Cricetulus griseus: one gene and its partner. The protein of the gene in region 2 interacts with the protein of the main gene of each other region in a pairwise test. Links are inferred from orthologs where the notes say so. Each region holds a gene or a part of one and is shown on either strand. Other genes may lie near its edges.

Region 1 (6,141 bases), about 17 Mb from region 2:
ACATGGTGGTAGGTAGCTGCAGCTTGCTGCCCAGGCAATGTAGGAGAGCAGGAGGTAACGCTTACCTGCATAAGCTCAACATTCCCGAAGAAGCGACTCACAGGCATGGGCTGGTTGCTGTCATCATCTAGAAAGACGCTGCTGTCCATCTGAAGCACAGGTGCCCGCACCTCCTCTGTCCTGGGCGCAGGCTCAGCCTGTCTGGCAGAACTTTCATCAGGCTCCTGGGCTGCCGCAGCACTGCTGGGTTCTGCTGTGGGCAGGCAATCTTCAGTCTTTGCTGAGGGTTCCTCGCTCACAGCCTGGGAGCAGCCCTGGGGAGGCTCTTCCCTCTCTGGCACAGGGACAGCAGTCTTAGCACTGTCCTCTGCAAACTCATTTTCACAAGGGGCCACAGGGGCCACTTTTGACAAAGAAGAAATGTCACGTTTAGGGTCAGCTTTCTGCAATTCTGCCTTTACAAGGTGACCTTTGTCATACTTGAACTTTTTGGAAGTGCGTTTGTCTGTGGTCTTTTGTGATGAAGCCTGCCAGGAAAGAAAAATGTAAGAGAAAGCCAGACCCATCTGGCAAAGGCACAGGACTCAGTCTCAGGACCCCCCCTTCTTCCTCTGCCACCAGTCACCATCTGTCCTGCCACTAAGAGGCAGGACAGACTGGAGGCCAAGGAGGACTCCACAGCGCCACTCCAACAGGCGGTTTTCTGAAGTGCCTGCCTACTTGCTTTAAGATCATAGTAGGGACACGCAAAATGGCTTAGTGCATAAAGGTGCCTGCTGCCAAAATGACATCCCAGGACCCACAGGGTGAAAGGAGAATCTTCTACTTCAAGTTGTCCTCTGACTTCAACCTATGCACTGTGACATGTGTGCCTCTCCTTCAAACAGATAAAAATGTAATGTAAAAAATGATGTAAAAGATCCCAGTTTCCATCTCCCCACTCCAAGCAAGCTCCTGGCTCTTTGCTTTTTTTGTGACAGTGCCTGGACATTGTAGGCATCAGCAGACACCCAGGCTGGCTTCAGCAAAGTGTCAGTGTGCTGTCCTGAGTAAGCGCTGTGCGAGGCCAGTTGTAGATGTGTGCCCCAAGCCCCAGCTACGTCATTTGGGGATGAGATTCCCTTACTAGGGCAGCTGCACTGTGATGTGTAACAGACCACTTGTGAGTCCTTTCCTTGCTGCCTGACTGTTCTCTCAGCTTTAGGGGTGAAGCAGGTGACAGACTCACATGGCTGGGCAGGCCACCTTCAAAGTGGCACAATGCACAAAGCTGAGCCTTAGTGTCTGGATTGCTAGCACACTTCTGCACACATGGTGTTGGTGCACAAAAGGAAACTCAGCTGCACTGCCACGAGCACCCCTCTCTGACAGCAGGGACGGCACTGTCACATGGCCTGAAATGTCTCCCAGGCTACACACAGCAGCAATGGCTTCTATTTCACACAACACGTCTCGGAGTGACAACTGTGGGAACGGATGGAGCCAAGGCCTTGGTGTTCTTGGTAGTGAAGCTCACCAGACATGCTGTCTTGGCGGATGTGGAGCTGGCAATGTCCTCGGCAGGGGCCGAGCTGGCTGAAGAGTAACGGCGGGCCCGAAGGCGTGCTGAGGATCGCACTCCACCTGTGAGCTAGACAAGAATGAAGCTCAGAGAGCATGCTTTGGGCAGAATGCCAGTACAGAGCTGTGGGTGCTCAGCTCAGAGCCTGCCCACATTCCCTCACAAGGCTGCTATGGCCCATGCTGCTTCAACCCAACTGTCCAGGTTTAGATACAGGGTCCAGGGCCAGAGGGATGGCTCAGTGGGAAAGAGCGCTTCCCACTAGGACTGAGGACCCGATTCAATCCTAAAGATTCAAATAGTGGAAGACAAGAACCAACTTCTGACGATTGTCCTCTGGCTTCTACCTATGCTGGGTACATGCCACACAGGTGGTACAGCACACGCGTGCACACAAATACAACTGAAGACAAAAGCTGGCTGTGTGCTTGTCCATGGTGGAGGTTTGGGACCATCAGTCCCCTTGTCTTGTATGTTTCCAAGAACCAGCATGGTAGCAAGTGGACATGAACTCATACCCGTGTGCCTCTCTCTCCTACAGAGTCTTATGTAACCCGGGCTGGCCTCAGACTTGCTATGTAGCTAATGAGGACCTTGCACCCCTGAACCTGCCTCTATTTCCCAAGTGCTAGGATCACAGATGTGAGCTGATACATTTGGCTTATGTGGGATGGAGAAATGAACTGTGCTTCATGCATGCTAGGTAGGCATCCTACCAACTGTGCCATATTCCTGACTCCACCCCTTAAAATATTTTTTTTTGAGAAAGTTTTCATTAAATTACTTTGACAAGTCTTGAATGCAAGATCCATCCATCTGCCCTAGCTTCTTGAGTGCTGGGGTCACAGATTGTCATCACACACAACTGTCTCACACATCATCTTATTGTCCTGGCTGACCGAGAACTCCCCATGTAGCCTAGGCTGGCCTTAAATTTACACACCAGCACATATGTAAGGGACAACAATAAAGGAAGAGAGCAAAAAAAGTATTCGAAGAAATAATGGTTGAAAACTTCCTGTGTTTACTGCAAACAATAATCTATACATTGAGGAATCTTAACAAACTCAACTCCAAGTTGACAGGCTACCTCTGACACAAGAGAGAGGAGAGGATAGACCCGTGGACACACCATCCCCTGTAGCAGTGCTAATCTTGGAAGAACTGGTAAGAAACCAACCCCTTACTTTGCACAAACAGTGGGAGTCACAGTGAATACACTTGGTGCACTTAAAAAAAAAAAAGTCAATTAAGAAAATCTATACCAGAAAACCTGTCCTGCAAAATAAAGGCCTGAATAAAGACATTTCTAGATGCCAACTGAGGACTGTTGCTTTAGAACTGCTGGGAGTTCTAGCTGAAGCTAGTGACCCCAACAGTAACCAAAGAAACCACGCACTGGATCACCCCTCCCACAAGGGAAGTCCTTGTACAGAATATTTTAAACACACTTCTCTCTAAAGGCAGTAACATAGGGGGTGGGCATGAAGGAGCCTTGCTGGCCTAAGGAAGTGGCTGAAGCGGAAGACGGTGTAAATCCAGGGCTGGACTGTCAACAGATGTCTAACAAAAGACCACAAAAGGCGGGGAGAGAACTACACGAGTTAGGTCATTCTGTATCTCACTGGAACTGAGGCAGTACAATTCTGAAAATACCCACACAAGGAAGTAAAAAGCACAGTGGGAAAAATGATTCAAGTCAAACCTTAACGTCTGCCTATTCAAGAGGGACAGCAACAAAGACAATACCAACGTGGGGCACAGTTACCTATCAACACTACACGCAAACGCCTACACAGGTCCACCCGAAGGCCGGATGTCTGCCTGGATTTTGGCCACCTGTAGGCAGACAGCAGCCACACCTCCGGCTGAAGGGCACTAGTGAAAGGAGTGGGAGTTCACGGTACCCGCCAGGCCAGGTCAGAGCCCCTTTGCAGCTGCGGATTGGGCCCAGTCCCCCTCCCTGCTGTCACACTGCCAGTCCCTGCCCAGTCAACACGACACAGGGGTTTGGCTGAGGTCAGCTACACCATGCAGAGTGGAGGGGAGGGAGCCGGGGCGGCCACCTGCACTGTCAGGGGCCGCCTCCAGTGCGAGCGGCAGACTTGCGGCCCTCACCCCACTCCTGGGGCAGGGCCTGTGGCGTTGGGGTGGGACGGGGTGCACGGTCTTGCGCTCCCAGGGGCGGAGCTGGGGGTCCAAGGCGCCCAGGGCAGGGGCCGCTGCCAGGCGAGGCCCAGCAGGCCCCGGGGGAGCGGACGGCCCGGCGCGGCGCGGCGCGCGTCCCGCCTGCTGGGCCCCTCACCTTCCTGCTCCTCATGAGTGAGCGCCGCCCGGGCCTAACGCTCCTCCGCAGAGTCCCAACCGCGCGGCTCTCGGCGCGCGCCTCCGCTGCGTCTGACGTCACCGCCGGCCGGCCAATCGCAGGGCGGCGCCTCGCGATCACGTGCCGCAAGCAAAGCCCGCCCCTCCCGACAGCGGGCCGAACGCGCTTCCGGGAACTTGAGCCTAGGGCGGAGCGCCGGAAGCCGGGCGGCGCGCCCGCCACACGGGGAACGGGCGCTGCCTCGGGTGCGTGTGAGCCCGCCGTGTCTAACCGCCACGTTTGAGAAACGCTCGCCCTTCGAAGCCTCCGCGGCCGCCATGTTTGAGAAGGGCGCTCCTGTTGATGATGCGTGAGTCGCCATTTTGGAAAAGGGACATCACGTGCTGCCTCCGCGGCCGCCATGTTTGAGAAGGGCGCTCCTTAGGATGCGTAAGTCGCCATTTTGGAAAAGGGACATCACGTGCTGCCTCCGCGGCCGCCATGTTTGAGAAGGGCGCTCCTTAGGATGCGTAAGTCGCCATGTTGGAAAAGGGACATCACGTGCTGCCTCCGCGGCCGCCGTGTTTGAGAAGGGCCAGCTCCCCGGCTGGGGGCCCTCCTCTCTCTGGTCTCGGCCCCTTCCTTCCTACCCTGCGGGGCCACCATCAGCTCGGGGTCCCATTTACCCTCAGCGAAGCCGAGGACGGGCGGCCCTGGCCTCTTTGCGGGCCTCGGCAGGCGCTCAGAGGGTCGGGGCACTTGCAGTCCAACCTGACAATTAGACTTTGACCTCAAGATACCCACAAGGTGTCCTCTGACACGACGGACACTCCATCCCGAGACCGACTCATTCTCCCTCCAAATAAATAAATAAATAAATAAATAAATAAATAAATAAATAAATAATATGAAAATAAGAAAGAGCTTCAAACACAAATGAAATCTGGGCCTCAGCCTCTGTCTTGCTGGGTCGCATTGCTGATGAAATGAAGGAGACTGACAGATCTCTCCAGGGCACTACAGGAGACGAGCAATGCAGACCTGTGCGGGCTCCTCTACCTCTAGGAGGGCTCCACTGGGTATTGCACGGGTAGAGCCCCAGAAATCAGGCTGCTGGTAGGACTAGCCTTTGGGGAGGTAGCCAGGCACCTTGCAGCTTTGGCATACTGATGCCCTCTGCTCACCTTCCTGGCTGGCATTCCCTCCTCCTCAGCCTCATGCTTCTTCCCCATTATTTCCCACGGTGCTTGGAAGGGGACTGACAGATGTGTGACTGGCGGGAAAGCCATTGGAAAGGAAATTAATATAATCGCAGCCAGCTGTAAAAAACCAGCATGTGCCGTGACAGGACGAGCCTGCCCGGTCATCACAAGTTATTCTAGGCTTGGCTCAATGATTTCCCTTCGTCCTTCAGAAAGCCAGGTCCTGGTTCTACTGGGCTTTGAAGTTGGTGTCGATTTACTTTATGGACAAGAGTATTTTGATCACATGTGTGTCTGTGGACCAGATGTGTTCCTGGAGCTCTTGGAGGTCAGAAGGGGACATGGAATCACTTGGAATGGGAGTTATGGATGGGTGTTAGCCACGTGTGGGTGCTGGGAGCAGAACCCAGGTCCTCTGTAATATCAACAAGTGCTCTTTCTAAGAATAGGTACACTGTCTTGTCCCTAGTTGGGATGGGAATGGTGTTTCCTCATCGCCACCATGGGTGGTACTGACATTGTATTCTTACATGGTACAACCAACCAGCAGTTCTGTAAGTCTGGACTGGAAATCTCAGCTGAACACATGATTGCAGAATGGATCTATGACTAGAATCTTGCTGGAGCTCTTAAGATTGCCTCACTGCTTCCAGAATCAAGGCCAACATTAAGGATGGGGGCCTATGAGATTTTGTCAGGCATCCATAGTAGGTCATGGGTGAGTGTTGTTGGACTTTTCTTTGGTCTGCCAGCTCACAAAAATGACATGGAGACTTCTTATTAATTATGAAAGCTCAGCTTATAGCTTAGGTTTGTCCCACTAGTGCTTATAACTTAAATTAACCCATTTCTATTCATCTATGTGTTGCCACATAACTCGTGTCTTTTATATACCCTCCACTAACACCATCAATATCTCTCATTGTGGTCAGTTTTCATTCAAATATATTTTAGAATATAGCTGGGTACAGGGTGAGGGGCCAAGACTTGCTTTGAGTGCTTGGGCAGTAAGGCAAATTGTGTCCTCTGAGTATTTAGGGAAGAACTCCTATTTACCATGTTGTGCCTATCCA
Region 2 (6,073 bases):
CTTCAATTGCTAAATTACATTTATTTATGTTATGTGTGTCTGTTTATGAGTGTATGCATCTATGTAGCGCTTACACGCATGCACGGCACTGGGTGAGTGTGGCGATCAGAGGACAACTTTTACCCTGAACTCATGATTCAGTCCAGGCATGTCCTGAACTCCATATACGGGTGAGTCTGCTCTTAAACTCCTGAGCCTCCAGCCTCCACCTTAACTGACATGTACCAATATACTCATCTAAGGTTTATTATGTTTAGACTTCTAAAAAGGAGAAGTCCAATTACCTATGGGTGTGGCTGTTACTGACTGTGGTGTTCTGCGTTTATTTTCAAAAGAATTGGTGTCCAGGAACTGAACTTTGATGCTAGTCTCAAATTGTCCTATTCCTCCAGTTCCCATATTGTCCTATTCCTACGCAGACTGGCAGGTACTAGGCATAACAGGTGGCTTATGTTATTTTTAGGCATGTGCAGCTCAGGCTTAAAGTAAGTATCTCCTCTATCCTCTGAAGACCTCTACCTGCACTTAGTCATAGAACACCTGCCTTTTAAGGGAGAAGTTCATCTGACACTTTTTTCCTCTTGCTGACCAATATTGCGTCCATTTCCTATCCAGTGACACATACCTGTAAATAAAGGGAAGAATTAGAGCCGTGGGACATCTTTTGCACCATCCCATCTTTTTGCAGGATGCACTCTTCCAAGTGAATCACATTTGGATGCTGGCTCTTGATACTGCTTAGTGCCCAGAACTCTCGAAGGGCTAGTTCAACATTTTCAGGTGCGTGGCATCGGATTTTCTTCACTGCTACTCTCGCAGAGGTCTTTCTGATGATTGCTTCATACACAACACCGTAACTACCTCGGCCTACCTCCCGTATTAGATCGTACTTTGGCTGGCTACTCACCATCTTCAAGGTCGAGGTTTCTGGAAAAATCAACAAAGTACTCTGTTGAAGTTAGGTGTACCTATTGGTTTGTATTCTTATGCATGATTTAACTAACTGTTTCACTGTGGTACTTGAAAGATATCTATCTATACTTTGGAGGAATCTACCAATAATAAAAAAAAAAGGTAACAGATAGCACTTACCCTATATTAGGAACTATTTCAAATACCTTACAATGGTTTCTAAAGTTTTTGTTGTCTTTGAGACAGAGTCTTGCCAAGTTCCCCTGGCCTGGAGCTTGATGTGTAGGTCAGGCTGGCTTCAGAAGCCATGGCTACAGCACTATCATTTCTGACTTTTTTTAAAGTTTATCTTGGTGTGTGAGTGCAGGCATGCCCATGCCATGGCACACCTTGGCTCTCCTGTCACTGCTAACGAGTAGAGCACGGCAGGATAGCTGCCTGTGAATTTCTGGAGACTGTTGTTTCTGCCTCCCATCTCACGAAGGATATCTGGCTGTATGTGGGTTCTGTGGATCCAAACTCAGTTCCTTATATTTACTGGACAAACGCTTTATCCACTCAACTCTCTCTCCAGGCTCCACCCACCCACCCCTGTTTTGGACAAGGTCTTCAGCTCACAGAGATAAGCCTGCCTCTGCTTCCCCAGTGCTGGGATTAAAGACGTGTGCACCATGCCTTCCTTCCAGCCCCCTTTAAAGAGATAGGATCTTGCTATTATATAGCTCAAGATGGCTTTCACTTTTTAAAAGCTGTATTGCATATTTCGTGTGTACGCTTGTGTCTTTGTGGAAATCAGAGGACAATATGTGGGAGTCAGTTCTCTCCTTCTACCATGTGGGTCCCAGGAATTGAATTTATGTTGTAAGGCTTGGCAGAAAGCAACTTTACCCACTGAACCAATCTCAACAGCCCTGGTTACCTCTGTCTCTGGAATGATGGGTGGTGACACTACCTGGCTACTTTATACTACATTCATTTAATCCCTAACCATAATCTGTGTAGCAAGGGGTAGGTGTTATAATGGTCATTTTAGAAGTGAGGAAATTAAAGCACAGAGAGGGTTAAGTACAAAGCCAGTGGCCAGGCAGCTCTTTGGTTCAGATATCCATGACTTAAACCCTAAACTACATTACTTCTTATAGGAACTGCTGGAGCATGTCATTGATAAAAATAACCCAAAGCTGGACAGCAGTGGCTCCAGCCTTTAATCCAAGCACTCAGGCTTTAATCCCAGCACTCAGGAGACAGAAGCAGGCTGCCCTTGAGTTCAAGGCCAGTCTGGTCTACAGAGTGAGTTCTAGGACAGGCAGAGCTACCCAGAGAAACCCTGTCTCGAAAAACAATAAACAAATAAACTCAAAATTCAACATTTTAATTTACTGATCATGAAAAAAATGAAGCAATGTATCTGTATCTCCTTAAGGTTGATGCATATATGAAAGGTAATAAAAACAGTGAAATGCAAAAATCCCCTGACTTATGCTTATGGACTGAAAGTGAACAAGACCATTTTGTTTTGTTTGAGACAGTGTCTCCAGTAACTCAGGCTAGCCTTGAACTCACTATGTAGCAGAGAATGATCCCAAACTACTGATCCTCCTGCCTCCACCTTCCTAGTCCTGGGGTTATAAGCATGCGCCAGTATGCTTGGTTATTTATTTCTTACAAAATAAACACAAAGTTTTTGTAGGAGAACTTCTTTAAAACGAAGCAAGTTGCTCAGACTAGAACTACTTTTTTTTATTATCGTTTAACATAGCTATTTAATTCTAGGTCATTTTTGCCAAAGTGGGGGAGCATCTTATACATCAAAGGGAATTCTCTGAGAAAAGTTCTCTGAAGTTCCAAATTAATAAATCATTTAAAGGCAAGCTACAGCACAGGCCCTGCAGAGCGTTCTTCTGACTGGAGAGCCTGCAGTGTGCTTCCTCACTCCTCAAATGCTCACTCGCCGCTGCCTGTCATCGCCGGCAGAAAAAGTAACCTGAGATTGTATTTACATTGCCCAATCAGAGAAACAAAAAGTGACTGACCCTGGAAGCTGAAAACTCCGGGAACAACTACTTTTAAGTCCATAAGCAAGACTGAAAAGAAAATGACTGCTTCTGAGGATTGCCGAGAGCGCTACTTCCTTTAATTGGTCGCCTATCCTTCAAGTTCCTACTGCTTTATTTCCTAATGTCAAATTTCCTGCCACAGCCCTGCTCTGCTCTGCTCTGCTCTGCGCCGATCGCCAGCTACTGTGCGCTTCCAAGTGGCTCTTTTCTGTGCAGCAGTCCCTTCTCTCCCACTTGCCACGGTCCCCCGAGACAGGGGGGGGACACCTTCCTGAACAAGGAGGGAAGGTGTCTATCAAATCCCCGGGATCCTGGAGGGAGAGGCGCCCCGGGGAAGCATCCTTCGAGAACCTGTGTGCCTTTCGATGGCGTGTCCCGGACCCTCCTGCCTGCTGCGGTCCCCGGGCGCTGGGCACGGCCGGCCTGGACATGCACCTGCTGGTGCCGCGAAGGGGACAAGTGAGGGTGCTCAGGCCGCGCTCGCTGCCCCAGCAGCAAGATCGCTCCCGGCGACAGTGCCCTGAAACCCCGAGGGACCCTCCCGCGGCCCTGCAGCCGGCTGCACGGCCGCTCGGCTCCCTGCGGCTGCAGACGAGGGGCCGGTGCCCGGGAGTGGCCCGGGCGGGAACGGAGGCCGCAGTCCGGGCCGCTGGCCGGGGCAGCGCCGGGCCTTCCCGGGGATGACTCCGCTGAGAGGTCTGGAACGGGCCTGCTGGGCCAGCGACACATGCAGGGAGGGCGGTTCTGAACGCAGGGCATCCGTGCCACGACGAAGGGCCAGATTTACCTCAGGGCAGCCGCCGCCGCTTCTCCCTCTCATGAGCTCTGCAGGCCGCCATTATCGGGCAGCTCGCGCCTCGGCTGCCGCGGCCTCCAGTCAGAAGCCGGCGCGCGCCCCCGTGGTGCGCGGACACACCCCCTCACGCCGGGCCCCGCCCCCTCCGGCTTGCCGTAGTGCGCGTGCGTCACCGAGCGCCGCCTGCTGGGCGAGCGAGCGCCGGTCCTGCGCGCGTGCGGCGTGGCGCTCCGGCGCCGCTCGCTGCTCCGGTGCCGCGCAGAGCCGAGCGGCGCCCGCGGGGTGTGCGCGCTGCAGGGCGGACCACTGCTGCCCGGGCCCGCGGGGGTGGCGGCTGGGGACGACGGTCGCCCTCTGCCGCGGCGGGTGCGGGTGCCTGGACTCTGGGGAAGCCGCGGCCACTGCCCCGGGCCGGCAGTGCACGAGCCCGGCCGCCGGCTGCCCACCCTGTCCCCTGCACACGTACCGAGCGGTCGCTGCGACCCGACGCCCGGCGCATCTTCCGCGGGTGGCGGGTGTGGGCGGCGGGCCCGCGGGGTGGTGCGGCCGGGGAAGGGAGGCTGCACCTTCTGTCCGGGTCCCCCGGGTTGCTTGCGGGCGGCGCCGCGGCCCAGGCGGTGATGCGGGACGACTGAGGGCGATCATCTGGGAGGACGCCGTCCCCTGCCCCACCGGCGCGGTGGTATCTCCCTTAAAGAAGCCGGAACCTCATTGTTCCCGGCGGTAAGGATGGAGTTGCTCTGTCGGGCGGGCGCGGGGCAGAGGGCGCGGCCTACCTGGCTGCAGCGCCCCGCCTAGCAGGCCCGAACTCAGGTAGGAGGGTGCCGGCACGCAAGGCAGGTCGCCAAGGACCAGAACTGCACTCGTCCGGATGGTGGGCGCTTCGGGGGCGAAGCCTTTCGGATCTCCCCAGCAGCTGACAGTCATGTCCCGGCAGCAGTCCTCCTGAACTCTACCATCAGGCTCACAGTCACTCAGAGGCGAGGACCAGTGGGCCGGCCCGTTAGTTACACAGATTCAGTCAGCATCTTCCAAAAACACCCATTCTTTTCTTTATTATGCTGCACCTACTGTTTGCTAATAAGGTACAGTAAGAATCTGTGACTGAGCTCCAGGTTAATTTTCCTTAAGTCTTCTGTTTCTTGGGCTAATGTTTGGGAACTGGGCAACTTTTTGTAGAATCCGTACTAAACTCCACAAGTCAAGGCTTTACTATTGACCCCGCCTTCACAGGAGAGAAAGCTGACTTGTGCTACATTTGACCAAAAGGTGCCTTTCTAGAAAAATCCGCTCCTGCCCCTGGTGTAACAACCTCCAGCTCCTCTCCTAATAAAACTCCAGTAATCTGTTTAGTTTGTCCTGAGTGCCTTCCTGGTACTGGTGTTCACCAGTTCGCTGGGAATGCAGGCTTCAGTCAAGACTTGTTTCCTGTCCTGGAAAGGGGAGGGGACGGGATGGGAATGCTGGCTACTGTGTTACAGGTCAGACTAGGAAGAGATCTCTCTGTTCATTACAGTCATTAAATGTCACAGGAGCTTCAAGGGACATACCTGTTCAAGCTGTTTTCCTATTGCTATGATTAAAAACAAAAAGGAAAGGGTTTGTTTGACTTAAATTTCCAGGGTCAGGGTCATAAATTGATCATTGAGGAAAGTCAGGGCAGGAACTGGGGAAAGACAACTTAATGGCTTGCTACCAGGTCATGGTTCAGCTACATTTCTGAAACAGCCTGTGCTGGCCTGCCTAGAAATAGCACTGCCCACATTGGGGTGAGCACTGCTTTGTCAATTAGCAATCAAGAAAAAAACCCTGGGCGTTGGTGGCACACACCTTTAATCCCAGCAGTCAGGAGGCAGAGGCAGGTGGATCTCTGCGTTTGAGACCAACCTGGTCTACAGAGTGAGTTTCAGCACAGGCTCCAAAACAATACAGAGAAACTCTGACTCCAAAAACAAAAAAAGAATGAACAAAAACGCCCCACGAACATGCTCACAGGCCAGTCTGATGGAGGCAATCCCCTGAGTCCAGCTCAAATAGCTGTAATATCAAGTTGACAGCTGAAGCTAACTAGGAGACCAGTGTTTTATAGTATGCCATCTTTTGTGTGAATGATAAACACATTTGCTTATATTTTAAACCTTTTTTTTTTTTTTTTTGAGACAGGGTTTTTCTGTGTAGCTTTGGAGCCTGTCCTGGAACTTGCCTTGCAGACCAGGCTGGCCTCTGAACTCATAGAGATCCACCTGTGTCTGCCTCCCAAGTTCTGGGATTAAAGGCACATGCCACCACCACCTGGCATATTCTAAAC

What was found. The genes of interacting proteins can lie anywhere in the genome.
Region 1: the proteins of Pdik1l (region 2) and CUNH1orf174 interact in binary tests that used the Homo sapiens proteins (3 or more experiments, as listed by UniProt). The two-hybrid records come from large-scale screens. The link is inferred for Cricetulus griseus from reciprocal best matches to the Homo sapiens genes PDIK1L and C1orf174.

What each region holds. Positions count from the first base shown.
Region 1 is NC_048595.1:2,366,697-2,372,837, forward strand, and holds the start of CUNH1orf174 (UPF0688 protein C1orf174 homolog), read right to left. Parts: upstream 4,010-6,141; 5' UTR 3,882-4,009; coding exon 3,867-3,881; intron 1,631-3,866; coding exon 1,517-1,630; intron 528-1,516; coding exon 66-527; intron 1-65.
Region 2 is NC_048595.1:19,022,069-19,028,141, reverse strand, and holds the start of Pdik1l (serine/threonine-protein kinase PDIK1L), read right to left. Parts: upstream 3,801-6,073; 5' UTR 3,757-3,800; intron 3,731-3,756; coding exon of another isoform or gene 3,650-3,730; intron 928-3,649; 5' UTR 911-927; coding exon 626-910; intron 1-625. Other genes in the region: translation initiation factor IF-2-like, read left to right, coding at 3,650-3,730, 3,801-4,400.